4 linked regions of the Alligator mississippiensis genome follow. Each later gene encodes a partner of the first gene's protein in a complex. Links are inferred from orthologs where the notes say so. Each region holds a gene or a part of one and is shown in the gene's direction. Other genes may lie near its edges. The genes, in order: DRC3, DRC1, TCTE1 and IQCG.

Evidence for each region.
Region 2: DRC3 (region 1) and DRC1 share a complex: the UniProt entries of both Homo sapiens proteins name them as parts of the nexin-dynein regulatory complex. The link is inferred for Alligator mississippiensis from reciprocal best matches to the Homo sapiens genes DRC3 and DRC1.
Region 3: DRC3 (region 1) and TCTE1 share a complex: the UniProt entries of both Homo sapiens proteins name them as parts of the nexin-dynein regulatory complex. The link is inferred for Alligator mississippiensis from reciprocal best matches to the Homo sapiens genes DRC3 and DRC5.
Region 4: DRC3 (region 1) and IQCG share a complex: the UniProt entries of both Homo sapiens proteins name them as parts of the nexin-dynein regulatory complex. The link is inferred for Alligator mississippiensis from reciprocal best matches to the Homo sapiens genes DRC3 and DRC9.

What each region holds. Positions count from the first base shown.
Region 1 is NC_081836.1:54,857,324-54,865,076, forward strand, and holds the start of DRC3 (dynein regulatory complex subunit 3), read left to right. Parts: upstream 1-4,739; 5' UTR 4,740-4,823; exon of another isoform or gene 4,824-4,842; intron 4,843-5,199; 5' UTR 5,200-5,628; intron 5,629-6,222; 5' UTR 6,223-6,230; coding exon 6,231-6,390; intron 6,391-7,753. Other genes in the region: TOM1L2 (TOM1-like protein 2), read right to left, coding at 4,227-4,278. UniProt on the Homo sapiens protein: Component of the nexin-dynein regulatory complex (N-DRC) a key regulator of ciliary/flagellar motility which maintains the alignment and integrity of the distal axoneme and regulates microtubule sliding in motile axonemes.
Region 2 is NC_081828.1:76,329,358-76,337,155, forward strand, and holds the start of DRC1 (dynein regulatory complex protein 1), read left to right. Parts: upstream 1-4,797; 5' UTR 4,798-4,831; coding exon 4,832-4,980; intron 4,981-5,608; coding exon 5,609-5,696; intron 5,697-6,472; coding exon 6,473-6,585; intron 6,586-7,798. Other genes in the region: olfactory receptor 2F1, read left to right, coding at 2,027-2,971. UniProt on the Homo sapiens protein: Component of the nexin-dynein regulatory complex (N-DRC) a key regulator of ciliary/flagellar motility which maintains the alignment and integrity of the distal axoneme and regulates microtubule sliding in motile axonemes.
Region 3 is NC_081824.1:169,864,301-169,871,650, reverse strand, and holds the start of TCTE1 (dynein regulatory complex subunit 5), read left to right. Parts: upstream 1-4,335; 5' UTR 4,336-4,451; intron 4,452-4,503; exon of another isoform or gene 4,504-4,712; intron 4,713-4,836; exon of another isoform or gene 4,837-5,597; intron 5,598-6,069; exon of another isoform or gene 6,070-6,122; intron 6,123-6,821; exon of another isoform or gene 6,822-6,877; intron 6,878-7,097; exon of another isoform or gene 7,098-7,179; intron 7,180-7,350. UniProt on the Homo sapiens protein: Component of the nexin-dynein regulatory complex (N-DRC) a key regulator of ciliary/flagellar motility which maintains the alignment and integrity of the distal axoneme and regulates microtubule sliding in motile axonemes.
Region 4 is NC_081830.1:85,493,556-85,500,643, forward strand, and holds the start of IQCG (dynein regulatory complex protein 9), read left to right. Parts: upstream 1-4,081; 5' UTR 4,082-4,148; coding exon 4,149-4,183; intron 4,184-7,088. Other genes in the region: RPL35A (large ribosomal subunit protein eL33), read right to left, coding at 3,754-3,764. UniProt on the Homo sapiens protein: Component of the nexin-dynein regulatory complex (N-DRC), a key regulator of ciliary/flagellar motility which maintains the alignment and integrity of the distal axoneme and regulates microtubule sliding in motile axonemes.

The sequences.
Region 1 (7,753 bases):
TTCAGTCGGCGCTCCACAAAGAAACAGCCACACAGCTCCAAGCGCGCAGAGGAAGAACGGAGAAGCACCGTGAGCAAATTGCTTAGGATGAAGCAGTTAAAAAAAGCCCACCTTGTGTGCCCTTTAATTATTTAGCGTGCTCAAAATATATGCCTTCAAAATCTGCAGAGTCAACGACGAGGGCAGCAGCATACTGGGAACCAGCTGTCCTCTGCTTGCAACCCGGCACATACAGATTTATATTTTGAACCCAATCGAATATATACTTAAGTGCACTGTGCTGCCACAAGATAAAATTGCAGTACTCAAAAATACGGGGTCTAATACCTTCCTGAACTACAATCTGCTTTTGTGCCTATGAAATAAATCCAGTCTTAGGAACCTAGTATTAAATGGCATTATACTAATTATCCAACTTCACACATGCATGTGGTTTCCCCAAGTTAGCAGATTTATGACTCATATTTATTTGCTCCTTTCAAAGCCAGGATATCCCGTTTCATATGGCAGGGAGATTTTTCTTTCTAGCATAATCCATTCTCAGGAAGTGAAAGCCAGATCCAAATAATCTTATAAAACTCAAAGCACTTTATCAGACTGAGGCTTGCTCAACCGGCATGAACGCAGATGAACGCTGGAAGGCAAGGTATGGACCATCTACCTAGCGGGCGAGTCCATGTCAGTGTATTTCCCATACCTATAGAGAGAGCAGTTTCCCTGCCTAACTCTTTGTGGGCTAGTCGGTAACTTCTCATTTTGCTGCACGAAATTACCCCACCTGTATTTGAAATGCTGACAGTAAGAATAATTATTCCAGCCTTGCAATTCAGATCAACCCACCCTCCAAAGAGTACAAGGCACTTCAGTGGTTCTGTGTAAGAACCAGCCTTCCTGCTGGAAAATTTTTGGTTACAACCAAACGTGTGGAAGATTCTTCTAGCAGAACAGCCCATTCGAGCTGAAAGAGCTTGAGGCAAGTTTGCAGTCCTCATTTGCTTAGTGGTTCCCCGGCGACGGTTTAAACACTCAGTGTTGTCCTGGGGAAAGTCAGTCCTCTAAAAAGTATGTTTTTCTTGGGTTTGCACCAGTTAACTTGGAAAGAAATTTAGAGACTTTTGGACAGTGGAACATGAGGTTTAGTCTCTTTAGGTCCTTAAAATGCATGTCTGCCATAATATTGCCTCCTCTCCTTGCATTTACAGTTATTAGTGCATTTACTCATCAAACATACATTAGAAGCTATCTACAGGAAGCCCTGAAGAGCTGTCCATGCAGAAAAGGAAACCAAAAGATATTAAGGGTCAGAGAGCTGGCACTAATTTTTCATTTTACGAAAAAAAGCCCTAGCAAGATTCTCTCTGCATCACATTTAGCATCGATTGAACTGCCTTGAAATGGAAACTACAAGTGCCTGGATAAAATCAATGGGAAGGTTGTCTGGTTTCACCATCACTTCAATAAAGTGTCCCTGTATCCTCTGCTGAAACGCTGCTTTTGTGGCTTCCTTAAGAATACACCTTTGCAAATCACAGCAGTTTTCATCCAACCTGGCTCCGACGCCAGGGTCCAGTCCTGCAATCCGTACTCACAGGTCGCCAAAGCCATGTGATTTTGGCCCGGACACCGGCCTTAAAGGCACCCAACCTTTGGAGAGACAGCTACTAAAGAAACAAAAGCCAGCTGATTTCTGTCAATGCCCGATTAATTTTGGAGACTTGGATCCGGAACTCCCCTCCCTCCTAAAAGATGTTAGCATTAGGGAGAAAGTTGTAGGTTATATCACGCCACTTAGTTCTTATCCTGGACTTGGCAGCCTGAGGCCTTTGGGTCACAGCCAAGCTTCCTCAGACTGCGATGATTTAAGCAGAGCATGCATTTTCCCAGAAGAGGAATATGCACATTCACTGTTTGTTCTACCTCCAAGGGACCCATTTTACAGATCACTGCCTGGCATCAATCCTTTGCACTGTAAGGATTTATAAACTCAATGTAGCAGGGCCTGATTTGGATGGAAACCTTCCCCTGCAGCAGCCGCACAAGAGAACTAGGAACTCAAAGCAGCTATCCAGTTTCCCAGGTGCAAGTTCAATGACGTGCAAACAACCCCGAGTCTGAGCTAACAGGTCGGCGGTACTTCAGCCCGCTGTGATCCAATGGGTCTGAATAAGCTCCAGCGCTCTCTGTAACACGTGGGAAGGATGTTTGTTTTAGTAACCTTTGAGCTGCCGCACTTTAAAGATGGCTTCCTCGAGCAAGCAACCATAAAAATGTGATTTACAGAGATGACTGTGGACCCTCAGGCAGACTCTTGCTGCTGGAAACTGCCGTGTCCTCACCAGGCCAGACTCTTCCAGACACTAGGGGAACAAAGGACTCGTCTCTCTGTGCATTTTCCCAGGCTCTTCCTATTCTCTGCTCAGTGCTACTCTGCCCCCAATTTCCACTGGGAACCCATCACAGAAGCCTAGTTCCCCATGCAGGATCTCGCGTGAGCCTGAAGAGATGCATCAGTGCTAAAGCATTTTGCAGCCTCAACAGCGGGGACCCTCCACCCACTGGGTCCATGCTCTTCAGAACAGCCTGGGCAAACAGACAAGCCGGGGTTTGTTCTCTGAAGGTCAATGCCGTTAGGCTCTTGAAGGTCATGAGTAGATGCCCATGCAGAGTCTGGGGCCCGTTGCCAAATGCCTTGCCACCAACCCTGGGCAAAAGGGGTGATAAGCTCCCCTGTTGTAGCTGCGCTCAGCTGCACGGCACAACACAGGGCAAGGCAGGGGCAGCGAGAGCCACGGGGGTGAAGCCCTTTGGAGCTTCAGCTCCAAGGGTCTGGGCTGCATCGAGCAATGAACCAGACGCCAGCGTGATCGAGGAGCACACGGTACCGTGTCGCTGGGCAAAAGCACAATGAAGTGTGTCCGCAGCCACGTTCTGCGCCAGGTTTCAGGGTAAATCTTCAAGTCAGTCCTGTGCTGGGATTCAACCAGCAAGGTCCTGGGGCAGCACAATCCGGTGGACACGCATCTACAAGGGACGGCTACCACCTGGTTGTCATTTGACAGCCTGGAGGGGACGCTGGCAACCCCTGTTCACCATTACGTTCACTGAGCAGCACCTTGTGCCATGTGACCCTAGGCACACGCGCCTCAGTTTCCCCACCTGTGACATGGTGATAGTGCTCCCTGCTCGCTAACGAGACCTACAGCTGTGAATCGGTCCAGGAGGAACAGGGCAGCATTTGTTCACATAAAAGTCACACACTTCTGTGCCCATGCGAGCTTCTCCATCGTGCCCTGGCCACGTGTCTTTGCCCAGCCCTGCAGGGACGATGTTTAGGGAGAAGGTATCTCAGTCCCGGGTCCGGCAGCCCACGCCCTCTCCTACAGTCCACTGCCACCGAGGTTTTCAATCAGTGACAGACGCGGCGATTTCTGTGACGCGGCGCCTGAAAATGATCGCTGGCCATATCAACCCCGCGCTGACAGCCAAGTGGGAACGACTTCCACACACCACACGCCCGGCTGGCACGTGACCCGGCACTCCCGCGTCCGGAGGCGCGCTTCACCGCCGTCACTGACGCTCTGGGCCTGGGCCGGCGCTAGCCCTCCGCAATACCCACGCGGCCCGGCGGAAAGGCCCCCGCCCGCCCGCCTGCTTCCGCGCGGCGCGGCCCGGCTCGGAGCAAAAGAGAAGAGGCGCAGCGCGGGCGCGGGCTCCCCTCTCCCGTCCATGAAACCGCACCGACGTTTGCCTGCCGGCGCGCTGCACCCCGCGTCCACTGCTCACCGCAACCACGGCTGCTTCGCGGCACACGCCACAGACACAGACTGATACACGCACGGATGCGCACACACACGCACAGACAACAAGGTCAGATGCACACACACGCACAGGCACGCCTACACACCTGCACGTGTGCAGACACAGGCACAGATGCAGGTGTGCACAGAAACACATGCACATACGCACACAGACACACACAGCCACAGATGCAAGTGTGCACAGACAGAGACACGGACACGCACACAGTGGCACACTCGTGTGCACAGGCCCGCACACATGCACGCGCGCACACAGGTCGACGCGCTGGCTCGCGCCCCTCCCCCCCGCTCTACCCCGACCCACGGCGCCCCCACACGCAGCGCGGCCCGAGGGCCCGATGCGGCCGGGCGCGGGGACAGCGCGGCGCGGCGCGGCCCCTGCCCCCCGGCGCGGCGCGGCGCGCTCACCCAGGCTCTGCCCCACCGGGGTGCTGAACGGGTTCCCCAGCAGAAACTCCATCTTGGGATGACAACAAACAGCCGGCCCGACCCGGCCCGCAACCCCGACCCCGCCCCTCGCCGAGCGGCATCCGCGCCGCCCAATCCGAGCCGCCGGCACCGCCCGTGGCCCCGCCCATGCCGCAGGCTCGCCCCGCTGGGTTGGCTGAAGAGCGTGCCAATCAGAGAGCCCCGCCCCTCTCCCTGCGCGACTCCTTCGTTTTCGACTGACGCAAAGGGGAGGCGGGAGCTCCTGCCGCCCCTCGCCAATGGACAGCACCTCTCCCATTCCCCCGATTCTATTGGGTGGCAGCCACACCAATCACTTTAAAATCCGCCCACCAGGCGCGCTGCCCACTCTGATTGGTCGACTTGGTTTCCTCGCGGTCTGATTGGCGGCGGAGCTTCACACCCCTTTTCCCTCCCTCCTGTCTTCCCCACCGAGGCCAGCCGCGATTGGCGGGCGCGGACCGGCACGTGACGAGGGAGCCTGGAGGCCCCGCCCTCAGCCCGGCGTCACGTGACTTGGCTTAGCAACCGTGCAGGCTTCCTTAGCAGCGAGCCCCAGTGAGGGGAGGGGGACAGGGTACTGGGGGGTAGGGCAGGGTATTGGGGGCAGGGTACTGGGAGGAGGGCAAGGTATTGGGGGGCAGGGTATTAGGGGCAGGGTACTGGGAGGAGGACAAGGTATTGGGGGGCAGGGTATTGGGGGGGCAGGGCAGGGTACTGGGGGGAGGGCAGGGTCTTGGGGGCAGGGTACTGGGGGCAGGGCAGGGTACTGGGGGGGCAGTGGGGGCTGGGCGGGCTGGGCAGACCTATGGATCGACTGATTTATTTGCAGCTTTCTCCAAAACGCTGCACTCCAGCGAGAGACGAGCTCCTTGTTTCTCCTCGTGACGTGTAATCAAAGAACAATGTTCATGTAATTTGTCCTTCTGGCTAGAAACCGAGGCCCCGCGGGAGCAGCTGTCGCGCAGCGTGAGAGCAGCACGGAGCGTCCGACCGCAGAACGGTCCCAGGGAAGCCGTGACATGAAAGCGAGACATGAAGACCCCGTGTGATGTCAGCCTTTAGTCCTTGTGCGCGGAGCACGAATACACCCGGGGGCGTAGGGCAGGTGCCCTGGGGCTGGAGAGGAGCCGGATTGTTTTTTCTTCGTTAACCTGGCGTTCAGAGAGCAGAATAGCTGATGCCACAGGGGAACACCGAGACAACAACGCAACAGGGAACTAAAGCATCAGCCTAAAGGGGAGACCCTCCCCCCACAAACAGCATCTCAGCTCGCCAAGCGCTTGCCCAAACAGGAAGATCTTGCGGTGCTTCCAGCGGGCGGGCCTGAAGAGGGAAGGAGCTCCCGAGCTGATCTCAATAGGTCTGATTTTGCTGCCGTTGATTTCAGGGGTGCAGGATCAATCCAATCTGCATTTCACCCATGTTCAGAGCATTTTATTGCCTCCAGAAATTTAAGAAGCTGCTTAAGTGTCACTGGTTCCCTTGAGAGCGGCTGCGTGGTCGGGGTGGGCAGGCGAGTGGTTGTGTGACAGGCTACGTGGAAAAGCCAGTGCACTGCTGCGTTACAGGTGGAGAAGGTGGCTGGTGGTGGGTGGGAGGCAGGGAGGAGAGGCCTGTGGGGTCGTGGCTGGGGGTTGAGGAGGGTTGTTTGGCTGCTTGGAGGGCCGTGGGGAGCTGTAACGCTCTGCCTTTGGTGTCATCTGGTTCAAGTTAAGCTTGACACGGGTTCTGCACGTGGTATCTTGCCTGTGCACTTCACCCTGCGCTGGCCCTGACTTGCACTTGTTAACATCATATCTTTTGGTAAAGGCAACTCTCTCTTTGACTTCAGCAGTGCAGGATCAGACCCTGTGGGTCCTCCACTCTGCTACTGTTTCTTTGCACGTCACATGCAGTTCAGTAAACACTGAAGACAGTAGCTGGGTAATGAGTATTGTTTGCTCTTCTCTCAAAGGCCTGAAAATGAACCGGATATACGATACCATTGAGCCAAATGTGATCGATCAAGAGATGCTTCAAAAGGCTGTTGAGGAGCAAGGTCCTCAAGAAGAAGCAGGGCAGCTTGCCAAAAGGGAAGGCATTGATTTTAAGGATGTCACAGAACTACAGCTTGATTTTAGGAGTAAGTATCAGATTTTTTCTAGGACAAGTTAATAGTACAATGCTTTAATTGTCAATGATATGATCATGGTAAAGCTCAGACTGGTTGCACTGACTCTAACTTACATTTTTAGCCCTAGCCATCTAAAAGATTTCAAACAGAGAGAGTTAAAAGGCTTTGCTGCCTGGTAAGAGGCTGCAGATCCTGGCAGCTCTTCATGTCATTGTTAATTATTACTTTTTTGTTTGACAGTTATGGAGCAGTGGCACCTTGTGGCCACGTGCAAGTTTGGCCCCACTGCACTAAAACCCAGTCTGATCCAAAAGTGTGATGGCAACAAATTTTCATTTTCAGATGAGTCCTGACTCCCTATTTCTGTCCAGTTCTGAGTGGGCAAGTATCTACCTTAAAAGAAGATGCCAGCAGTACAGCAGGTCAATTTGCCAACTTTGTTGAAAGGCCCGACTAGATCACTAAGCTCGTTATTGGGCAGAGGAAGCTGAACTACCCTCTTGCCCATGCTTGTGACCTCCCAGTTCAGTCTGCAGTATATTGGTAGGGGTGACATGGAAGCAGTTTGTCCTGCTGTTATGGATATCGGATGTGAGTCTTTGGAGCTGTCAGATCAGCCTTTCAATCCCATTAGGATCCTGTTTTCTTTTAGGAAAGCAGGTGCAAATCTGCATCTTTAATTTGCTCCTTCTATTGTAGTGATTGTGTGCTAGTGAGATAACTGTGTGAGCAGATAACGAGTCTGCTCATTGGCACTCACAGAACTGACTTATGCATGCATTTGTTTGGAAGTGATGCGCAACTGTACGCACATTTTGCCCATGCAATTGCAAGCTTAGCATGCAAAACTCATGCCCTGTTTGTCTGTGACGAGTGCCTATGGCTGTGGGGTTTTCTTCTTCTATGTTTCCACTCCTGTCTTCTAAGCTGATGCCCACTGGACAGTTGAACCCAAGAGTCTCCTATGCCACATGGTGCCAACATTGTGTTATAATCCTTTCAGCCTGTGCCTGGGTCTGTAGGTTTTTTTTCAAAAAAAGGCAAATGCAGTGACAGCTGACGGCACTCCAAACAGGAGATTATAAACTGCAGAAAACCTGAGTTCTAATTCCTATAGTGGTCCCAGGCCTATTCTCCATCTACAGCTGCATAAACTGAACAGTGGGAAAGGATTTATAGAATATGGAGTAACTTTGTAACGTAATGGGCAGCAATTCAAAGCCAGCTAGTCCCCTGCAACAACCTGCAATTTCAGAAGAAAGTGCTGCCTCCTCCCAGCCACACTCTTAGTTGGAAAGCAAAGTGAAGGTCAAAGGCCCTCCTGGTAGTGAATTCCTGTAAACCCCCTCTTGACTGGAGTCCTGCAGTCAGC
Region 2 (7,798 bases), on another chromosome or scaffold:
GGGTTGGGCTCCGACCCGCCCCTGAGTGGCTGTGCAGACCAAGACTAAATTCCCTGTGTTAATGTGGAGTAACATGTCTACAAATGTGTTAATCTGCATTAACTAATCCTGCTTAAATTTGATACTTGGTTTGGGCAGGTATCAAATTTAGGCTCACATAGCATTAAAGGCACACACATGTAGACATGCACCCCTAATGCAGCTTAAATTGGCCTAATCTGCATTAAATGACCATATGTAGACATGCCCAATAATATCTAACATACAACCTTAAATTTCACTCAGGGCACATTTACACATGCATTTGATCTGGGCTCAGTTTAGTCAGGAGTAAATGTCTTCACATGAAATGCTCTGGGGCAGGACTAGGCAGCAGGTTTGCTGCTTTTAGGACCAAATTTGATGCAGCCCTGCAATAAGCCATTGCCGTCACCAGGAGAGCTCTCAGCTCTCCCTGGGTGCTGGTGCAAGGACTGCAAGGGAGCACCCAGCCAGGAGAGGGAGCACCCAGGACTGCGAGGGAGCACCCAGCCTTGGCCTGGATTGGGATGTTACACCCTCCATTACACCCTGCCCCTGGAGGGGGCTGCAGACTTCTGGAGTAGGAACAATATCCCCCTGCCTCACCAGCAGGCAGCTCCTGGCCCTGGCTCCCTGATCAGGGGCAGGGGACTTGGAAAGAGCTGCAGGGGAGGGTTAGGTCCCAGCCCCCTGCCTTGATCCACCAGTGGGGCAGCTAGCAGCTAGCTTGCTACTAGCTGCCCCAAGATGGGGGCAGGGGGCTGGGACCTAACCCATCCCTGCAACAAATTCCAAGCCCTGTGCACCCAGTTGGGGCATGGGGCTGGGACCTGCCCCTGACCAGGACAGTTCCCAGCTCCTGCTCTGCACACTGGGCAGAGGCTGGGGAGTTTGTTCACTGCCCAGCTGTGTGAGTATGGAGCTGGGGACCAGGCTGGGGGGCTTGTTCCATGCCTAGCTCCGTGAGCGTGGAGCAGGGCAGCAAACAGCCTTCCCAGCCCCCACCAGCAGGGAGCTCCCAGCACCAGCTCTGCATTGGAGATCTCCCAACACCAGCCCCATGGTTGCGTAGTTGGCACTGGGAGATAAAGTTCTTCTAGGCCCCTGCTTCCTGATCACCACCTTGGAGCAGGAGGGCTTGGAGCACCCTGCTGCCAGGTAATGAGGGCATAGCATAGTCCCCTCCCAGGCTCCTATGGCAGAGCCTGCCCCAGCAGTAGGCAGCATCTGGGGTCAGGGAGCAATCTGCCACCCCCTGGTGGACAGCTGGCTGGGAGTACATTTGCTCCCAGTCAGGTGTCTACATGAATGCTACTATGCTGTTACTAATCTTGAGTAAATTTGTGACTTGCATTTGCAGGTAGCAAATTTACTCCGTATTAGGGAGGTTTACTACATAGTAAACATGCACATGCTTGCTTACTTCACAGTAAATTATGCTACTGCACAGTTAAGCATCTCGTGTAGACACACCCTCAATGATCATTTTCTGAGTCTTATTGACTTCTGTATATCATTTTTTAGATTAAATCAATAATAGAGGTATGTGAATACAATTCCACACACTAGTAAAAAAATGTATTACGTTAAAATATTATATATTGCTGAATCATAACACTGGAATAAATTATATACAGATTAAGTGAGATGTTTCATTGATCCCCTGAAAAACTATATTTTAGTTTCAAGTGCATTCTTCATTATTTTTTTTCAGGTAAAGCTGAATGAAATTTGAAAATAAAAACAATGTTTTGAATTTAAAAATACAATAGTAAATATTTTTTTTAATTCTGAGAAGCGAACATGAATTTGTAACTTGTTTCAATGTCATTGAATCATCATTTTTTACTGGACAAAGAAAAGTCTGCTCCCACATGAGAGTCTGACATTGACAGGGTTTGGGTCTGTTCTCATGGTCCTAGTTCAGTAGCTTATGACAGTTTATTCAAAACCATGACATCATTGACCATATCCCTGCACTCACAGGTTAAACCATACCAATAAGATGGAGTCAGAAAACCAAACTTCTGTGACTGAGTTTATCATCCTGGGCCTCTCCAGCCATCGGGGCACTCAGCTCTGGCTTTTTGCACTCCTTTTAGGTATGTATGTCATCACTCTTGTGGGAAACATTGTTATCATTGTTACCATCCGGATAGACCCATGTCTTGATACTCCCATGTACTTCTTCCTTGGAAACCTGTCCTTCTTGGATATCTGCTACACATCCAGTGTGGTCCCCCAGATGCTGGTCCACTTCCTGGCCCAGCACAAAGCCATCTCTTTCAGCAGGTGCACAGCCCAACTCTATGTCTCCCTGTCACTAGGGAGCATTGAGTTTATCCTCCTGGCTGTTATGGCATATGATCGCTATGTGGCCATTTGCAACCCCCTCCATTACACTGTCACCATGAGCAGGAGGGTTTGTATCCAGCTGGCAGTGGCTTCATGGGCCAGTGGCTTTCTCAACTCCTTGGTGCAAACCACCTTTACCATGCGGCTGCCCTTCTGTGGCTTCAATATCATCAACCACTTTGCCTGTGAAGCTGTGGCACTCATCAAGATAGCCTGCTCTAACACCTATGTTAACGAGATCATTCTCATGATGGCCAGTGTCCTGATCCTCATCATCCCCTGCTCCTTCATCATCCTGTCCTACATCTACATCATTTCATCCATCCTGCGTATTTGCTCCTCAGAGGGCAGGTACAAGACCTTCTCCACTTGTACCTCCCACATCACTGTTGTGATGCTGTGCTATGGGACAGCCATCTTTGCCTACATGAGGCCCCGGGCCAGTGTGTCACCCAATCAAGACAAGATGTTTTCATTATTCTATGCTGTGGTCACTCCCATGCTGAATCCTGTCATATACAGCCTAAGGAATAAGGAAGTGAAGGAGGCCCTAGCCAAAGCCATGGGAAGTGGGCTGTCTTCTGAAAAAAGATAGATATTTCTGTCTCCTTCTAGATATTTTTCCTCTATAGTCATCAAGGAAGACAAAGGGAAGATGACATTCATGGAATATGACACTGGAGAATGATTATCATTAATAAATAGGCCCATTTACACACAGATGCAATTGTGGAACTGTCTGTCCAGAACTAAACTGAGTGTCCATAGAATTGAAAGGAAAAGTGTAAAATATCATTATATTGCAATTAAGTGTTGCTTCTCTACAAGCTCTTTTTGTAAACTCTGAGAAACACACCAGAATATATATTATCCTTTTACAAAACCCTCCTCACCTGTCTTGGTCTCCTTTTATTTACTGCAGGTAATTATATGGCTTTTCATATTTTCTAACAGATCTGGTCACCCATTTCCTCAGTTGCGTGCTCTAACCCAGGGATTGTCAACTGGGGGTATGCGTACCCCTGGGGGTACTTAGACCGGTCCTAGGGGGTATGCATGGGTGGCTGGGGACGGAGCACCGCCGCCTCCCAGGAGTGAGGACAGTGATGTCCCTCTGTGGGGTGGGGAAGCTCGCATGTGTTGGCCACCACTGCTACACACCAGCCTGGTGAGCTTCCCCACACTGCAGAGGGGCACCACCGCCCTCACCCCAGCCTAATGAGCTTCCCCGCCCTGCCCTGGCCCTGCTCCTGGGGGGTGGTGGTGGTACTCTGTCCCTGCCCGCCTACACAGTGTCCCCACCTCCATGCTCCGTGTCCAGCTGCGTACTCCCCCTCTACCCTCTGGTGTTCGGCCGTGCGCTGCCCCCCTCCTGTCCCCCTACTTGGCATCCGGCCACCGTGGGTACTTAGACTAAAAAAGGTTGAAAACCCCTTCCCTGATGAATGCCAGCTGCAGGGAGCACGGCTGGGAGCTAGGTGCCAACTCAGTGCTGCATGGGTGAATCCCCTGTCCCCCGGGCTCTGCACTGAGGCGGGTGCTCCCTTTGCATCCCCTGCACCCTGCCCTGGCACTGGGTGCAGATGACGCAGAATCTGGGTTTATGCATTTTTCCCAGCTCCACAGCCGCTGCTCCCTTTTGTGTCACCAGCAAAGGGCCAGGGGCTGGAGGAGGAGACAGCGGACAACAGAGAGAACAGGACAAGGGGCTTTCAGGAGCAGGGTCTGTTGGATGAAAGGGAGATGGATGGCATGCAGAGACAACTGTGGGTGCAGGGCCTGGAGGCGGTAGTGGTGGGAGGGGGGCCGGATGCAAAGCCAGCTTGGCTCCATATCGCCCAGGGCGGTCACCAAGATTTGCCCCCCCTAGGGAAGGCCCTGATGGCATAAGAACAGTGCGGAGGCCCCTGGGACCCCAGGCAATGTGTGGGGAGAGAAAAGGGAAGAGAGGGGAGGACGGAAGGAGAATATGGCCTGAGCAGGGCCTAGAGCATGTCTGAGTCTAGTTTCCTACTTGGGTGAAACAGCATCGACACACCTACAGGGTCTCTCTGCCCTCGTGGCCCGAAGATCCCCAGCAAGGGCGCGTGCACAGAAGTGACACGAGGGGCGAATGAAAAAGGCGTCATGCTCCACGTGGAGAGGCAGCAAGAATCACAGCGGGGTGCGGGGCTACATGTCCCAGGCAGCTGTGGGGAGCGGGGCAGGGGCATGGTGGCCACAGCAGGGGCAAGGGCAGGAGGTCGGGGCACGCGGAGGCTGGATCCACAGATCTCAGAGCCGGGTTCCCGAGGTGTCCTCGGGAGGCGGGAGGAAGAGGCCGCGGCAACCCAGCAGGAGGCGCGGGGCGGGGGCGGGGCTGTTCGGACACCCACTACCCCGCGCGCCGGGTCCTGCGCGTGCGCCGTTGCGCAGCGCCGCGGTTGCCTGGCAACGGGCGCGCAGGGCGGCGGCCATGAGCCGGGCCGAGGCATCGGCCGAGGCTGAGCCGCAGCAGGTCGCGAAGCCGTCGAGGCGCGCCCCGTCCGTGGGTGCCGGGGATGCCGAGGAGCGGGTCGCGGCACGGCGCCTCCGCATCGCGGCCCGGCAGGAGGCCAAGCGCCGGTGCGGGCGGGGGGCACCATCCGGGGAACGAGCCCCGCCCCCCCCGCCGAGACCTGGCCCCTCCCGCCGCAGCACCCGCCAGTGCCATGGGCGGGGGGCTGATGCCAGGGCTCCCCGACTGCGCTGCCCCCTCCCCCCCTCTACTGCCTTGGGCCCCCAAGACCCAGTGCCAGAAGGCAAAGGGGCCCCAGTCCATGCTGGATGGCAGTGGTCCAGGCTGGGCGGGCCTTGGCCCAGGGGTGGGAGTGTTGTGAGAGTGCTGACAGTCTTTCAGATCAGCAGTCCTGAAAACAGGCAGCGCGGGTGTCCCAGCAGACCGGCCTGCACAAGACCAACCTTCTTTCCTGCATGGGGTCGAAGGAGCAGGTGTCGCTGCGGACAAGCTGGGGAGCCGTCCGCAGAACAATCCACGCGGGCTGCCTTGGTTGGAGACTCCAACCAGACACGAGTGTATTCTGTAACCCCCCCCCCCCCAAGACCCCCTTTGGGTTGGTCTCCCACCCACATACTGAGATGTTTCAATCTTGTGGATTCATGGGCTTACAGGAGGCAAGGTGACTCAATAAGAGATCTGGCAGGGACAAGGAGATGATGTGTTATTAAAGCTTATGTCTCTACCCCCCACCAGGGAGGCCCTGGGAGAAGACCCAGATGCAAAGAAGGCTGAAGAAGAGGAGCAGAGCAGGAGCCATAAGCAGATTGAAGAGAGCAGACAGGTTAGGAGTAGGCTTTGCGGCCAGGGAAATGGGGTTGACAAGTCCATTAAGGACCATTGCTCCATGTACATGTGGCTTTGCAGTCCTGTTAACATAGCCTGACAGCTCAGGGTCAGCCAGTGGATATGTTCTGAAGGAGCACGGTTGCACACAGGTACTTGCTATGACCACCAGAGACTGATTCTTGAAATACTTTATAGGGAATTTCATTGTAACAAGCTTCTGTGCTACAGAAGATATCCGTGGGCCAGACCAAGCCTCTTTGCAGTCTGGATCTTCCCTGAAGGCTATAGATTGCTGACTTCTGTTCTAAAACATCTGATATTTTCTAACCTACTTGACTTCCTGAACTTCCTTGACTTCCTCCTGTTTCCAGCTGTGCAAACAGGGAGCCAACATGCAATATCTTGAGCTTTCAAGTACAGATCAGACCACGCTGTGTCCTGACCTCACAGCAAAGGAATGGTGAAGCTAGAGCCTGCAAGAGAGAGCTGAGAGTGGAGCTGTACTGCAAGAGCTGCATGTGGTTTGGGTGTGTTCAGTCTTTTCCTGAAAATAAACCAGTGTGATGCCATGATGATAAACTATGGTTGGGTGTGTGAATCCCTGCCAGGTGACATCCCAGATTCATACTTTTATTTAAGCACCTCAATATAAGCATAGGAACCAGCCTGTAGGGCAGGCAGATGTGGAAGTGCTGGCCATGGAGCCTTCCAAAGCATGTAATTCAGTCCATTTGGCCTCATGGTTGTTACGTCCCTTTCCTGTCCTTGCAGAGGCTGGCAAAGCTGCTCCTTGATGGCATGCAGCTAGTAACGAACATCCAGGTGGCTGCCGATGCCAGGGAGACACAGAGGAGGACTGAGGAGGCTGAGCTGAAGCGGCAGAGGTGAGAGTTTGTGTAGGTATGACAGGTGTTGGCTTTGGCATTCCCTGACACGGACATCTCAGAGCAAGGCAACCCGGTCTCTGATCAGTGGGAACTATGTTGGAGACTCCCAGGCATTGGAAAAATGCCCTTAATTGACCTAAAAGTAGAATGACCCCGGTTTGCCTGGGACAGTCCCAGATTTTGGAGGCTGGTCCTGGCCGGCTGGTGAAAATTAAAATGAGCATCCCTAGTGTGGGGCATGGGGGGAAAAGCTGCAGGAGCTGTGAAATAGGAAGCCTTAGTAGATAGCAAAATTGCCATAGAATAGGTTATTCTGATTAGTGGAATGACCATCAATGCTGACCTTGTGAAGGAACAGCTTGAGAGGCTGGATACCTTCAGGTCAGCCGGCCCTGACAATTTACACCCCAGAGTACTCAAGGAGCTGGCTAGCATCATAGCTCAGCCTCTGGCACAGATCTTCAAGAGCTTCTGGCGCGCTGGTGAAGTGCCCGATGATTGGAAGGAAGCCAGTGTAGTGCCTATCTTCAAAAAAGTGAGGAAAATGGATCCGGCAAACTACAAGGCCCATCAGCCTGACCTCTATCCTGGGGAAGGTCTTAGAAAAAATCATCAAGGAGGCCATTTTTAATGGACTGGCCGATGGCAACACCCTGAGGGACAGCCAGCACGGGTTTGTTGCGGGTAGGTCGTGCTTGACCAGTATCATTTCCTTTTATGACCAGGTGACCTATCACCTGGACAAGGGGGACGAGATTGATGTCATATATCTCGACTTTAAAAAAGCCTTTGATCTGGTATCCCATGATCACCTTTTGGCAAAACTGGCCAACTGCAGCCTCGGGTCTACCATGATCCGCTGGCTAGGGAATTGACTCTATGGTCAGACCCAGAGGGTGGTGGTTGATGGAAGTCAATCGTCATGGTACCCTGTGACCGGTGGGGTCCCTCAAGGCTCTGTCCTTGGACCTATTTTGTTCAACCTCTTCATTAATGATGTGGACATTGGAGTCAGAAGCGGACTGGCCAAGTTCGCCAATGATACCAAACTTTGGGGTAAAGCATGCACACCTGAGGACGGGGGTAATCCAGGCTGACCTTGACAGGCTCAGTAAATGAGTGGACGAGAACCTGATGGTGTTTAACACTGAAAAATGCAAGGTTCTCCACCTTGGGAGGAAAAACCTGCAGCATGTCTATAGGCTCGGCA
Region 3 (7,350 bases), on another chromosome or scaffold:
ACACTGCATTGCAGGGCCAGAGCAGAGGTTTGTGGCTTGCTAAAGCAGCCTGAACTATTAGTACTGCATCACTATTAGGCACAAGCAACTGTGCGCTCAAGCCTCATTTGGGTAAACTAGATATGTTCCCTTCTCAGAGTTTCACAGCACTGTCTCCCCTTTACCCTTCTGTTCTGTGTTCTGCCCTTATCAAAACCACTTCCTTGCAACAAGCAATTATTTGGTGCACACAAACACACTTAGAGTAATGCTAAGAAATTAAAGATGGAGAAGCCTAATCTACTACTCCCCTCTTCCTAGCTCGTCTCAAGAGCTGTGCTGCAATTGTTTCCTTATAATCATGGCCCCACCACCTGAACAAGACACTGGATCCATGTTATCGTAGATCCAGAGGTATTAGTTGGAAATAAGATTTCATATCAGTTAAGTTCAACTGATTGTATTCTACCCCCAAATGCCAATATGCCCAGAGATTTGCACTGACAATGAATCATAGAGGCTGGAGGGGTAGGGAACAGGGAGGAGTTAGCAGTCAGATGGAGAACTGCTTTCCTTTTTAACCTATGAAGAGGATAAGACTGAGGGTCTTGGTGCTGGGAAAGGGATGAATCACTTTTTCTCTCTACCCCATTCATAGTGAACCAGGCTTTTGCTCTGCATTAATAAGGCTGGATTTGGGGTCAGTGTCCACCACTGCCACTCACAGTATTGAGAACATGCATTAATGAGATGTTTCTGCAAGAACAACCAGTATCTAAATAATCAATACTGGCATGTAATTTGCTGTTGTTATTTTTCAGAGTTAACACATACCTGAGCTAAATGAGCCAGTGCATCCCTTGCTCAAAGACACTGTTTTATGTGCTGTGCAAATGTAGGGAGACACCACTACGTTGTTTACATTAGTGTCACAATCTGTAGGATTTTGGCAATCAGAGGGGCTAGAAGCCAATTGTTTAAATGGAAGCATGGACATTACAGCACAACTATGCAGCCAGGTCAAAAAGAGCATAGAGCTGCATAATTTCATGATACGTGGAGCTCTGCCTACAGTGTATTACCTGTGTAGTTTGACACGCCCCAAGAGACTACTCAAGTATTTGGGAAGCATCGTGGAAGAAACATTTTCCCCAATACACATTTTAAGTGCCCCTTTCCCCAATTTCATCTCATTACAGTTTGAGATATTTCTCAATCCCTCAAATAATCCCCTTCTCCTATTAGGTTTTATATCCTCCAGATACTTTGATTTTTGTTCAAAGAATCAAAATCCTCCAAATGGCAGTAGACAGACACTTGGCTTGCTGCTATGGCAAAGCTATATCTGTCTCAGGGCTTTTCCATCTTTCCTATCTGGTGACCCTGTGCTGTGGTAGAAAGTAGCTTGGGGAGTCCCCTGCCACCCATCTGTAGAAAAAAGAGAGGGTGGAGAAACTATGTTTTATTTCCCTCTCTTGCTCCTTCTGCAAAAGTCAGTCCTCCCTGGTTCCAAATCAGAGAAAGTAGATTGTGTTACTATGCACTGGCTCCTTTTTACAGACTGTTACTTATGCTGCCTTTTTGCTTAAAGGGGAAGCTGTCAAAGAGATTGAGCCCCAAATGTGACCTGTATCTTCCAACTACTCTGCTCTGGTGGGCAATGTCTTGTGGCATCTACTGATCCCTCTTGCTATGACATCTATCCCCATGACTGGTAATGAATGATCATTGAATGGATGAATCAATGAATGATCAGTATCACACAAGAACAGGCTTTAGGCATGGTGATTTTGTGAGGATTACTTAGTTAATAAGCCCTGTTCCACAGCCCTTACTTACACTAGCACCATTGACTTCAGTTAGCACTGGTGTGAATCAGGAACAACTCCACTGAGCTCAGTGTCAACGAAAGTACTTACCAGACTTCTCTGCTGCCTTTATCCTTGTCACCCAAGTACCTCCTAGCCCAGAAAATGTGTTCCAGAATCTGTAGGCTTCAGACCAATTTCTGTAAAGTACTTTAAGGGTGTCAAAATAAGGCACACTCCTGCTGAACAGGAGCTTGCCTCTGAAACAGTCCCATTAGTTTCACTGGAACTGTGTGTAGTGTAAGGGATTATTCACTGTGTGTAAGCATAGCCATATATAAAGCCTGAGTAAATTGCTATTGCAGTATTGCCAGCCCAAGCATTCAAAACCCAAAAGTCAGGCCTTTAAAAAAAATCATGAGATTAGCTAAAAATCATGCAATTTGAGATTCTTTTTAAGGTCTTTTTTTTAACCTTCTGGTTTCCTGGGCTGTTAAGGTCACATTTGCCATCTAACCTCCACAACCATGATGGACAACCCCCTTTTTTTCAACGATGAAAGTAGCTGGCACTATCAGAAAACACCAACTATCTTGGGATTTACAACATAATCAGGGGAGTTGGCAACATGATTATGCTTCCTCCTGCAGATAACCTATCTACTAGCCTGGTATATGTATTGCTCTGCTCTGTCCACACCAGCATTGAAAAAGAACATCAGTTTGAAAAAGCCACATTTCCATCTGAAATTTCAGGGTCTACAGGGACAAGAACAGAGGTGAAAGTAACATTTTCCTGGTTGTTTTCTTTGAATATGATAACACACAACATGCTATGGAAATTTCAGTGGTGTTGAGGGTTCAGCCTTTTCCCAATGTTCTGCAAGCAGGTTTTTATCACTAACAGCAGAACCAAAATTGAGCAGGGAACAGAGAAGGATGAAAAAGGAAACCCAAGGATGCTTGGCAGTGCTCTTGGACCTGCTCCAAAGTCTCCTCTAAACATTAGCAGCAGAGCGGGGAGAAGCAAAAAAAAACCCCTCAATATGATTATTAAGTTGTTGTTTTCCTCATGTCATTTAAAAGCAACTTGCAGAAAGTGTGAGGTTTTTAGAAAGAACCAGTTTCAGGAAATTCACACCACCCCAGCTCAGCAGGCTGGGGGATATAAAACCAGTCTGCTTCTGCAGACCATCACAACCAACTTCACACCCTCATGCTCCAAACCAGCAGTATCCAATGTGGTGGCCACTGGCACCATGGATAATACTTCCAAAAACAAAAAAAAAAACTAAGTAAAGGGAAGTTGCATTTTGAAGTTCTGGATCTAATGCAATTTTAAGTAATGGATGAGATGATCGGATTGATCTAAATTTTAAACTTTAATATTCATATTGGCGCGCACTGCTTTTTCTTTTAGATTTGAATGTGCCCTCGGGCACAAATGTTGGGAACCCCTGCTCCAAACCATCCACCATCTCACCCTCACATCCCCACCAAGTGGCGGGACACCTTTGGCAAGGGCTCCCCGTAGACCAGCCTACATTCCACCCTAATCCCACAAACCACTGCGGATCTGCACGAGCATGTATCTGGCAGGCTTTCCTGACTTCAACACCTGCCTCTTCTGTGCATAAAGTGAGACAGGGGCAAAGGCCTACTTCAAATACTGCAAGCTGAAGCCCTTCCACTGCTCCCCAGGAACCTGCCTGCTGCTCAGCTCCCTGCCCTGTGCTTCCTTCCTGATTTCTTGCTCTGCTTTCTTCTTTCTTGTGCTCCCTGCCCAATGTTGCTGCTTTCTGCTTCTTGCTCCTACCCTTCCTGTCTGACCTGCTGCTCTGCTTTCTGTCCTACCTGCTGCTCTGTCTTCTCCCCACCCCATGCTCCCTGCCTAACTGGTTGCTCTGCTTTCTGCTTCTTTCCCCACCCGCCCTTCCCTGAATCTGCTGCTCTGCTTTCTGCTCCCCGCCCAACCTCTTGCTCTGTTTATTGCATCTTTCCCTGCACTCCCTACTTGATCTGCTGCTCTGCTTCCTGCTCCTTGCCCTGTGCTCCCGGCCTGATCTGTTACTCTGCTTTCTGCTCCTTTTCTGATTTCTTGCTCTGCTTTCTGCTTCTTGCCCCCGCACCTCCTGGCTAGGGTGGCCGTCACAGAGGACATTCCCGTTTTCTGTACTCTGTCCTGTATTGTTATGAAACCAGATGGCTTTATGTCCTCTATTTTTCTCTTCAAGAGAAAAATTCCTGTGCTGCTGCTGGCCAATCCCACTACCCATCAGACCGAGGAGCTCCCCGTCAAGAGGAGCTCTCTCTCTTCAAGAGAAAAAGAGAGGACATGAAGGCGTCCGGTTTCGTACCAACAGAGAACACCTGGACTGTCCTTTACAATGGCCACCCTGTTCCTCCCTGCTCTGCTCCTTGCCCTCTGCTTCCTGCCTGAATGGTTGCTCCGCTTTCTGCTTCTTCCCCCTCCCCTCCAGACCTACTGCTCTGCTTTCTGCTCCCTGCCTGGTCTCTCGCTAAGCCGTGGCGGCGCTGGTGCTGATGCAAAGTCCAGGCCCGCCAGAGCTGCCCCGCGCGAAGGGGCGGTCCCGCCCCGCCCCGCCCCGCCCCAGCAACCCGCTGTTGCCTGGCAACCGCGGCCGGGCCGGGCAGGCGGCGCCGGGTGAGCGGGGCGGCTCCGGAGTGACTCCGGAATGGGGAGGGGGGGAGCGGGGCTGCCGCGTGCTTTCCTGGCTGTGATCTCCCAGTCCCAAAGCACCCGGCCGGCCGGCTGTGGTCCTGGCCCTGGCGCGCTTCCCACGGCCCGAAGTGCCTGGCGGGAGAGGCTCAGGGTGCGGCGGAGGGGTGCTTCCGTCTGTGCCCCCCTCACAGACACCTGCCTGAAGCGGGCTCTGGAGCCAGCCTCCCCCTGCGGACCGAAGGGGTGAGCCGGCAGCACCCACAGCCAAACACAGCTCTGGGCTGTGGAGCGGCCCCAGGGCTTTCTAGGGCAGGGATTTGCAGCTCTGATTTGCTGCCTGGGACCTAGAGCCAGGGACGCAGCAGGCCCTAGAGGTCCAGGCAGCCAGTCTGGGTGGATCCGGGGAGCTCGCGGCTCAAAGCCCTCCTGCTCCCCCACTTCCCCTCACCCGCTTTACAGAAATGTCTTCCCTTCTCTCCTCTCCTCCAGAGGCCCCTCTGCTCTGCACTGGTTATTTTCTCATCGGGAAACATGCGGGTTTGGGCTAGTAAAAGCTTCTGGATGGGGACTCTTGTTGCGCGCCTTGCCAGCTGGTTGGCAAATAACTTCACCTGAGTCGCCTGGTTAAGCAAGAAAGACCTGGTGCTCTCCTCCCAGCTTCCAGCAAGTATTTAACTAGCAGAGGCTGTGCTATCGTGAGGTCTCTATTACCATGATGTCATTGCTTTTTCAGATGATGCTATGGTCAATATACTAACATGCTGCATCACGTTACCTCAAATTCATTACTCTTAAACAGTGGTCCTCAGAAGTTGTGACAGAAGCTCATTCTATGATGCTTTAGGCTCGATTTTGTCAAGTTATGTTTGCTTGCTTTTTCGTTTGCTTTGTGTAGTAAGGCATTGGCCTCCTGTGATGACCAGCAGGTAGCAGGGTAGAGTTGCAGGGTAGTTTCACCTTAAAGACTAACTAAAGTAGTGATATATAGAGATCACAAGTCTATCTAGATAGATCTATCCATTTATCTACTTTGGTTAGTCTATAAGGTGAAAATCTACCTGGCCTTTTACCTGGCTTCAGGCTATTAACACAGATAATGACATCCGTGCTACTGACCAGCGCCACTTGGTGAGTTACTGTTGTATCCAAGTAGACAGAATGCTTTTAGATTGGAAGATCAGTTCTGCCTTGTTTACTTGTCAAAATTTAAGTCCAGGGCCTTACTTTGTTTTGTTTTGGGGTTGTTTTTTATTTTTTTATTTTATTAGGTTGAGTACACTGCTAACTTCCAAAACAGTATTTGTGTCTGCTTCAGGTGCTGGTAGTGTTAATGGGGGTTTTGCGTGAGAAACACAAAGTATGTGGGTTTGAGATTAAATCAAGAGCCTTTCGCCTTTAAGTATCCTGACACTCTCAGTCTGGAAAGGAACACCAGAAAGCAATTAGTGAGGAGATGAAGGAAGCATGTTCTGGCTGTTCAAGCACAGCCTTGGGATTTAGATCTATGGTCTGTTCACAGCATCATGATAGATTTCCTGTGTGTCCCTTCCCTCTCTGGACCTCACTTTTCCTGACTGGAAGACAAAGATATTTTGCTTACCTTACAATGAGTTATTTCTTGGAAAGTGCATTGAGATCTTTAGATGGAAGAAGCTAGAGAAGGATGAAATATTGTTTAATTTAGTAATTACTGAACAGTGACCTAACTCCCCATGCTTCTAGATATCAGAGAGGAGAAAGCTACTCCTAATTCAGGACTTTGGTGAGGCTTGGAAGTAGCTTTTTCCTTATTTCTCTCTATGTTGCTGTATAGGCCTATGTTGAATGTCTCTTTCCCACAGTTGCTGGCCCATTAGGTGGCCTTAGCCCAGATACGGATGCAGAATCTATTGAACTGTAACCATGCAGTGCTGATTGGCAAGTGTTGGTTGGTGGTCATTCCTTAGCTACTTTTGTGTTTATGAAATAATATTACAGCAGTGACCCCTACTAGCAGTGTCCAATATGATGACAGTGAATCACAGCACCTTAAGTGAAAGAAGTTCCAGGAGGTCATATTGTCCCTGGCACAGTTTAAATTGTACTGTTGACAGCAACAAACACATTCATGAACAGTTGGCATACCTAGTTTGACCCAGTTTTTTGGACCTAACATCTGTTTTTCCAATCTGGCTGTAGTTAGCACAGTTTCCTTGACCGGTGTGTATTTTTTTTCTTTACCCAAGAACCACTCTTGTAGGCTTTTCTTTTTAAGACTCTACAACAGACTTCCTAATGCAACTGTAACATCAATAAAAATGGGTGTCAGAATTGATAAGAATCCAATTGGTAAGAATTGATAAGAGTTCTTACCTGTGATAAGAATGCTTGACAGCGATCAGGACCTTTAGCCATTGTATCTAACCAAGCTGAGGGCAGACACAAATATAGTGTGTTAGTAATGAGACCTGCAGTTCAGCCAGTGTTTCCACCCATCTAGAGGAATGCTAGAAGAACTTCCTAAAATTCTGGGTAGACAGAGCCCAGATGGGGATACAAACTGTTAGGCTAAAAATTAGTTTTGAAACACTATTTTTCAAATATACTTTAAATATGCAAGCTCTACTGTAGACAGGGACTTTTGCTTACTTCTGTTTCTTGGACTAAATTATCGCCATCAGGGGTCCAATTCAAAGCCCACAGACTTCAGTAGGATTCTTTCCATTGACCTAGATGGGTTTTGGATAAAAAACAGAAGCAGGTGAACTATATGTTTGAGCATACCTTATTTACTCTGGACCTGAAGAACTAGAACAGCGGTTCCCAAAGTGTAGCCCATGAATCTCACTACTCCAAAGCCCCCTTTTAGGTATGAGTTTGATGATATGGGAGAACGGTGGTT
Region 4 (7,088 bases), on another chromosome or scaffold:
CTATTTCTGAAGGGACTACATGCATGCTGGGATCAAGAAATAGTGCTTTATTCACAAGGAAGTAAATATACTAGCATTCGCAATTAGGGGTGAATAAGGAAGCTTCCACAACAGGAGACATTTATAAACAGCTCTACTTCTCTCCATTAGAAACCTCCTTTTTTCCTCCAATGATTATCACTAAAAAGATGATAACGTTAAGAAGCAATTTGCTTTTTTTTAAAGTTCTTTATACACACACATTTCAAATGTCTAGAAAATAGATTCTATCACTTCATTGCATACATGATAATGCAGATTAATTGATTTTGGATCTTTGCTACAGTAACCAACTCTGTAATAAGAGATGTAACAAAAAAGTGCTGTACTGAAATGATTTTTTGCAGTTTCTATGGGGAAATGCAAGCCTGTTCCATGTGGACAGTGCAGGACTCCAGCATAATTCAGGACACTTGAAACCAATAGCTAAGAGTCCTAGAACTGTGCTTAATTGTATCGGAACAAATATTGTATAAAGCTTTCTTAGCATGGGTAATATTATAAGGTAAATCCTTTTGGACAACAGATTTAAAATGTCACCAGTATTTTCACAAGACAGTTTGTTCAAGATTTAAATCTGTAACTAACAGGGTAGATCTGATTTAAATCAAATGGATTTAAATAATGATTTAAATCACTGGCCAGGAAGCCTCAGTTTAATCACTGATTTCTACAAGAAGTGCACTGTTGTTGTTTGATATCCTTTATTCATTTAACTTCTTGAAACTTTCCATTTTTAGGGAGAGGTAAGGGCTTGACTGTGCATACCCGAACTAGCAGAGAGACAACAGGGCTGATGGGTGAGTAATCAGTAGTGGCGCGCGGATATATCTGTCTGTATTGGATCAGCACCGATAAAAGGAAAATTGACATTATTGGCAATCAGCTTTTTTTGGCTGGTGTAGCCAATAACATCATTGATAAATTCCACATGCATGTGCACAGCTGCACCATGCACACAGCCAGGAATGCAGCCCCGCAGCTTGGAGAGCAATGTCCTGCTGGTAAGTCTGTGTGGGGGGCAGATTGAGGCCCCCATAGTGAGAGAGAGACTGGGGTAGGTGATACCCAGCTGGGTTGAAGCATGGGACAGAGCTGTGGGTGGCTCTACAGGGGGGCATGGGAGGATGGGCAGCTCCCCACTGCTGCACACACCCTGGGGGAGGAAAGCGGGGTATGAGGCCCCCACTGGATTTGTGCACGGGGTGAGGGCGAGCTGCCTGTTGTGGGCTCAGGGGCTGTACCAGCCTCTTCCTGGGCATGGGGGGACGGGGGACACGACGACTATGGCCACCCCAAAAATTCACCATAGACCCCCACTCCCAGAACTGCCACTACCCACCTCAAGAGCAGCCCTGGCCCAGCACTCCCACCAAGAGGCCAACACAGGCCCCAGCCCCAAAGCAGGCAGCCCGCCCTTGCTCTGTGCACAAATCCAGGGAGCACATGCCCACCCTGCCTCCCCCGAGGGTGCACACCAGCAGCAGGGAGCCACCCATCCTCTGCTGGGCCACCCACAGCTCTGTCCTGTGTCCTGCCCTGGCTGGGCAATGCCTGTCCCATTCCCTCCCTCACCATGGGGGCTTTGAATTACACCCCCTCCACCAACAGACTTACCAGCTGGACGCTGCCAGGCTGCATATCAGCACTCAGAGCGGTATCAGCTGATATGGCCTTTGGTATTGACCAAATATTCCCATTAGTGGTACACTCCTAATAAAAGATATTGCATCTTCCCAAAGAACCGTGTCTGCCTGTGAACTCTGGAGAGACAAATTCACAGTCTGAGAACTGAAATGAAGCATCACAGAGACGTTTAATGGGATCTTCTGGACTGAGCGCTGAGTCGCACTGAGTAGAGTGGTTTTCTTTAATCTTTACTAATCTATAGATAAAGAAACCTCTTGGAACCCCATAAGATTGGGCCCCTAATATAGGCCACGGCTTGTTGTGACCTATTTATAAAACTTCTAAAAAGGTTGCACAAATACACAGGGTGTTTATATAAAGTCCTTGTGTAACTTTATAAACATGAATAACTTTGGATGTGCACGACAGAAGCAACCCAAAACGACATGCTTACACCACGCTAAAAACTTAATTATGGTTTCAATTGCTATTTACAGTTTGCTATAACAGACAAAGTTATTCAAGTTTAAAGTTGCACAAGAACTTTATAAACACCTGTATATTCATGTAACTTTTGCAGAAGCTTTATAATGCATCACAACAGGCTGGGGCCTATACTATGGGCCCAATCACTGGATCATAGACAGACACAGGAGGGACGCCAGACCACCTACTGTTAGCGCAGACTTAGTGAAGGGGCACTTAGAGGGGCTGGATGTGTTCAAATCAATGGGCCCAGATGATTTTCACTCAAGGGTGATGAGGGAATTGGCCTGTGTCATGGCAGAGCTGCTGGCACGGCTGTTCGAGCACTTGTGGTGCTCCGGTCACGTCCCAGAGGACTGGAAAAGGGCAATGTGGTCCCTATTTTCAAGAAGGGGAGGAAGGAGGAACAGGGAAACTAGGCCAGTTCGTCTCACCTCCATCCTTGGGAAAACTCTGGAAAAAATAACATTAAGGACCACATTTGTGGGAGCCCAGCAGGGGAATAATGCTGAAAGGAAACCAGCACCGGTTCACTGCCCAATTAACCTGGTTTCTTTTTATGACCAGGTCACAAAATGCATAGACGCAGGAGCTGAGGTAGATGTCATCTACCTAGACTTTAGGAAGGCCTTTGATACGGTATCTCGTTCTGTTCTGGTAAATAAACTGAGTGGCAGCGATGTAGATAATTGCACGGTCAGGTGGGTGACAGATTGGCTTATGGGGTCGCACCCAGACAGTGGTGGTGGACGGGTCGGTATCGACCTGGAAAGATGTGGGCAGCGGGGTCCTGCAAGGCTTGGTCCTTGCACCGGTGCTGTTCACGTCTTCATCGGTGACTGGGACGAGGGCGTGGAGAGCACCCTGTCCAAGTTCATAGCCAAATTATGAAGCAAAATGAACGCACCAGAGGGTAAGAAACAGATCCAGGCGGATCTGGACAGGTTGGAAAAACGGGCAGAACGAAACAGGACGCAGCTCAACAAAGACAAGCGCATCCGTGAATCCTACGTTGCTCTTACGCAGCTCCCAGAGCTGAAAGTTATTGAAATCGCACCCGGACTTTAGAAACACTCGTGTAACCTTTTTACAGGTTTGATAAATACGTCAGGACAGGCCGGGGACTATAACGGGGCCCAATTTTATGGGGCTCCTCTACAGACAAAAGTTATTAAAACTCAGAAACACCCCGTGTCCTCGTGCGACATCTTTACACGCTCAGGAAATGCGTCAGGACAGGCTGCGGACTGTATCTGAGGCCCAATCTCGAGGCTCGTCTACAGATTAAAGTCACCCGAGCTGCACTGGGAGTTTAGACGTGCCCGCATCATCTCTAGGAGTTTATAATTAGATATCACAATAATTATGAATAATAATAATTCCTATTCCACGATATTTTGGAGCTTTTACAGATCTTCAACGAAAACGATCTTTATAGCAAATGAAAGCATCTTAGCCATAAAAAAGTGATTAAATTTTAAACCAAAATATCTTATTTCAGTGAACACCCCGTTGGTTCCCCCCCCGGTAACCGGCGCGGTGCAGCCGCCTGGGCCCCGCGAGTGGCTCCGGGCCGCGCGGCTCGGGCAGGGCTCTCACCTCCCGGACATGGCGGCGCGGCGCTGGTCCCGGCGGCCTGCAACCAGAGACGTGGTGTGAGCACCGCGGAGCCGGCTCCGCACCATCCGCCGCGCATCGGCGCCATCCCGCGGCCCCCGCCCCCGGCCCCCCGCAGCCCGCGGCCCGCCCGGCTCGCCCGCCGCCCCCCGGCACCCCTCGCTCCGCGCCCGCGGCCCGCGCCGCGCCGCCGCGCTCCCCTCACCCTGCCGCTCCGCTCCAAGATGGCGGCGAAAGAGGAGGCCGCGGCGCGCGGCACGCCGGGATAGCCGCGCGCAGGGCCCCTGAGGCGTCCGCGTCGCGCCTGACGGGGCCGCGCGCAGAGCAGGCGGCACCGGGGCAGCCTCTGAGAAGGACCCCGGAGCGTCGGCGTCGCCATGGAGACCGGGCCGCTGCCGCCGGCCGCCGCCGCGTGAGTGTCGCTGTGGTGATTGCCGCCTCCTTGTGCGGGGGGGTCCTCGGGGGGGGGCTTGTCGTCAGCAACCGTGTCACTGCCGCGGTCGTCCGCAGCGCGACAGTGATGCCGGTGTCCATGACAACCACTAACGGCTGCCATTCATGATTAGCATCTGGTCGGACGCTGTCAGTTAGTGGCAGTTGCTGTCGTCATCGCCATTACCGCCACGGTCCTGGCTGCTGCCCTCCAGTCTTGTCCTTAGTACCATCCGTTTCCACTGGTTTCACCACTGGCGTTGTTTCGAGGTCGAAACAGCAAAATCGAAACGGAACAGATATGGTCGAAACAGCCTCGAAACGGAAACGAAACGTGTTGCCGTTTCGATGCCGTTTCGCCCAGAGGAGATAATGGGGAAGGTCAAAACAGCCTATAACTTTGTCGTTTCTGGCCAGATTGGGATAAAACTTGCACAAGTGGTAGTCCCTTCTGAGGGCGTGATGCGTGCCACGTTTCCAGAAGATCGGTGCGGGGGGTTCGGAGAAACGGCACCCCAAATTCTTGAGAGCCAAGCTTGTGTCGTGTGTATGTGTTAAGCCGCGGCAGGCGACAGCTGCAGGGAGGGTGGCCCCTGCTGCGGACACGACGCCTGCTGGCTGTCGAGGAGACCAGTGCGGGGGAACTGCACCCCAGCTGCTGACTGGGAAACCTTGTGCCGTGCTAGGAGTAATGGTCGCAGTCGGGACACCCTAGTTGTGAGGTAGTTTTTCCTAATGTTGAGCCTGAAACGAGTCTGAATCGATCTCCCAGGAGTTTGTGACCATTGCTCCTAGTTTTCCCCTGTCTCTAGTGGGTTATGGAATAGAGAAAATCCCACACAATTTACTGATTCGTTTTGATGCACTGGCTGGGGCACGATTTTACAATGATTACACACTTAATTCATACAACACAATTTTATTTTAAAATTCTTTGCGACGCATATAACACTGCTTAGCTTAGAAATACCACAAACATTAAGAACACAATAATTACATATATCAGAAACAATGCTCCGAATGCACTTCCTTCCCAAACAATGCTGTAAGAATTAGTATTACAAAAACAACTACAATTACAACTAAAAGTTAAATTTGAATCAATACTGTTATTTTCAAAATATACTTACAATCCTAGAATTCCGAGAAGCCAAACACCTAAATACAGTTTCATTCCTCAGTAGTACAATTTAATGGGTTGGCCTCAGTCGTACGGTTCAATGGGCTCGCCTCAGTAGTACGATTCAATGGGCTGGCCTCAATACTGATAGGACTAAGTCCCCTGCCTTCAGTCCCTTTTGGGCGCTCTGCCCAAAGGGGAGTACATCTAGGGCTCGGTGAACAACTGTTCACCAGGGCACCCTTGGGGATGTCATATTGAATGAAATAGTTTGAATGTTTGTAATGGTTGCCCATTAGCCAGTTTCAGGAAGAAGATAAGATTTATCTCCTTATCTAGCTCATTGATCAGACTGATCACCTGAACCACCCCCTCTGTGAACACGAATCTTTTAGTTCACGCTGAAGCTGCAGAGCGCTGACTTCGTTAGGCTTTCCGAAGCGGTTCGGAAAAGCTTCAGAGCCGTTTTGGAGATCCAGCCATAGGGTATAATGGGGAATCATCCCTGCAGCTTTCACCCCGCTGCGCCTTAACACACACAGGGTCACCCATGTCATGAGTTTTGCCTGTCAGCAGTCAGAGGTGCAGGGCCCCAGAAGCCAGACTCCCCCTGCACCGATCTCCTTGACAGCTGGCAGGCTTCGTGGCCTCACTAGGGGCCACGACCCCTGCAGTTTTCAGCCCGCTGCACCTTAACACACACAGGGTCATCTGTGTCACGAGTTTTGCTTGTCCGCAGCTTGAGGTGCAGTTCCCTCCCCAAACCCCTGCACCTATCACCTTGAAACTTGGCAGGCTTTGTGGCCTCACCAAGGGCTACCATCCGGCAGTTTTGACTCCACTGTGGCTCAACGCATACACGACATGAGTTTTGCTTTCAGGAATTTGGGGTGCAGTTCCCCCTGAACCCCTGCACTGATCTTCTTGAAACATGGCAGGATTTGCTGCCTCACCAGGGGCTAGCATCCCTGCAGCTTTGACCCCACTGTGTCTTAACGCATACACGTGGCGTGCGTTTTGCTCTCAAGATTTTGGCGTGCAGTTTCTCCAAACCCCCTACACCTATCTCCTTGAAACTTGGCACGCATCATGCCCTCAGAAGCAGCTACCATTTCTGCAAGTTTCATCCAAATCTGGCCAGAAATGACAAAGTTATAGTCTGTTTCGACCTTCCCCATTATATCCTATGGGTGAAACATCGAAACAGGGTTGAAACGGCAAAACGTTTTGACAGAATGAAACGGAACAGCCGTTTCAACTTGAAACAAAAGTCAAAATGAAACACTGTTCTGTCGAAACGTTGAAACGCTGATCAAAACGAAACGCTTCTGTTTCACACAGCTCTAATTTCCAATATTGTTATTATTAGTGATGATCATAATTGTGATCACTGTTACTATCCTTTTTGCTAGCATCCATTATTGTAATTATTACAATCAATTACAACTTATTTCCAATATATTATTAACAATTATCTATTATAATCATGATCGCTTGCTTTCCATATTGCTACCATCAAGTATTGTAATTATTATACTAAAGTCCAGCTTATTTCCAGTATTATTATTATCAATGATCTATTATCGTAATCATGACCACTGTTACTATCCTTATTGCTGCCATCCATTATTGTAATTATTATAATCAATTTTGACTTATTTCCAATATTATTGTTATCTATTATCGCAATCATGATCACTATTACTATCCCTATTGCTACCATCTGTTATTGTAATTCATTATTATAATCAATCACTACTTATTT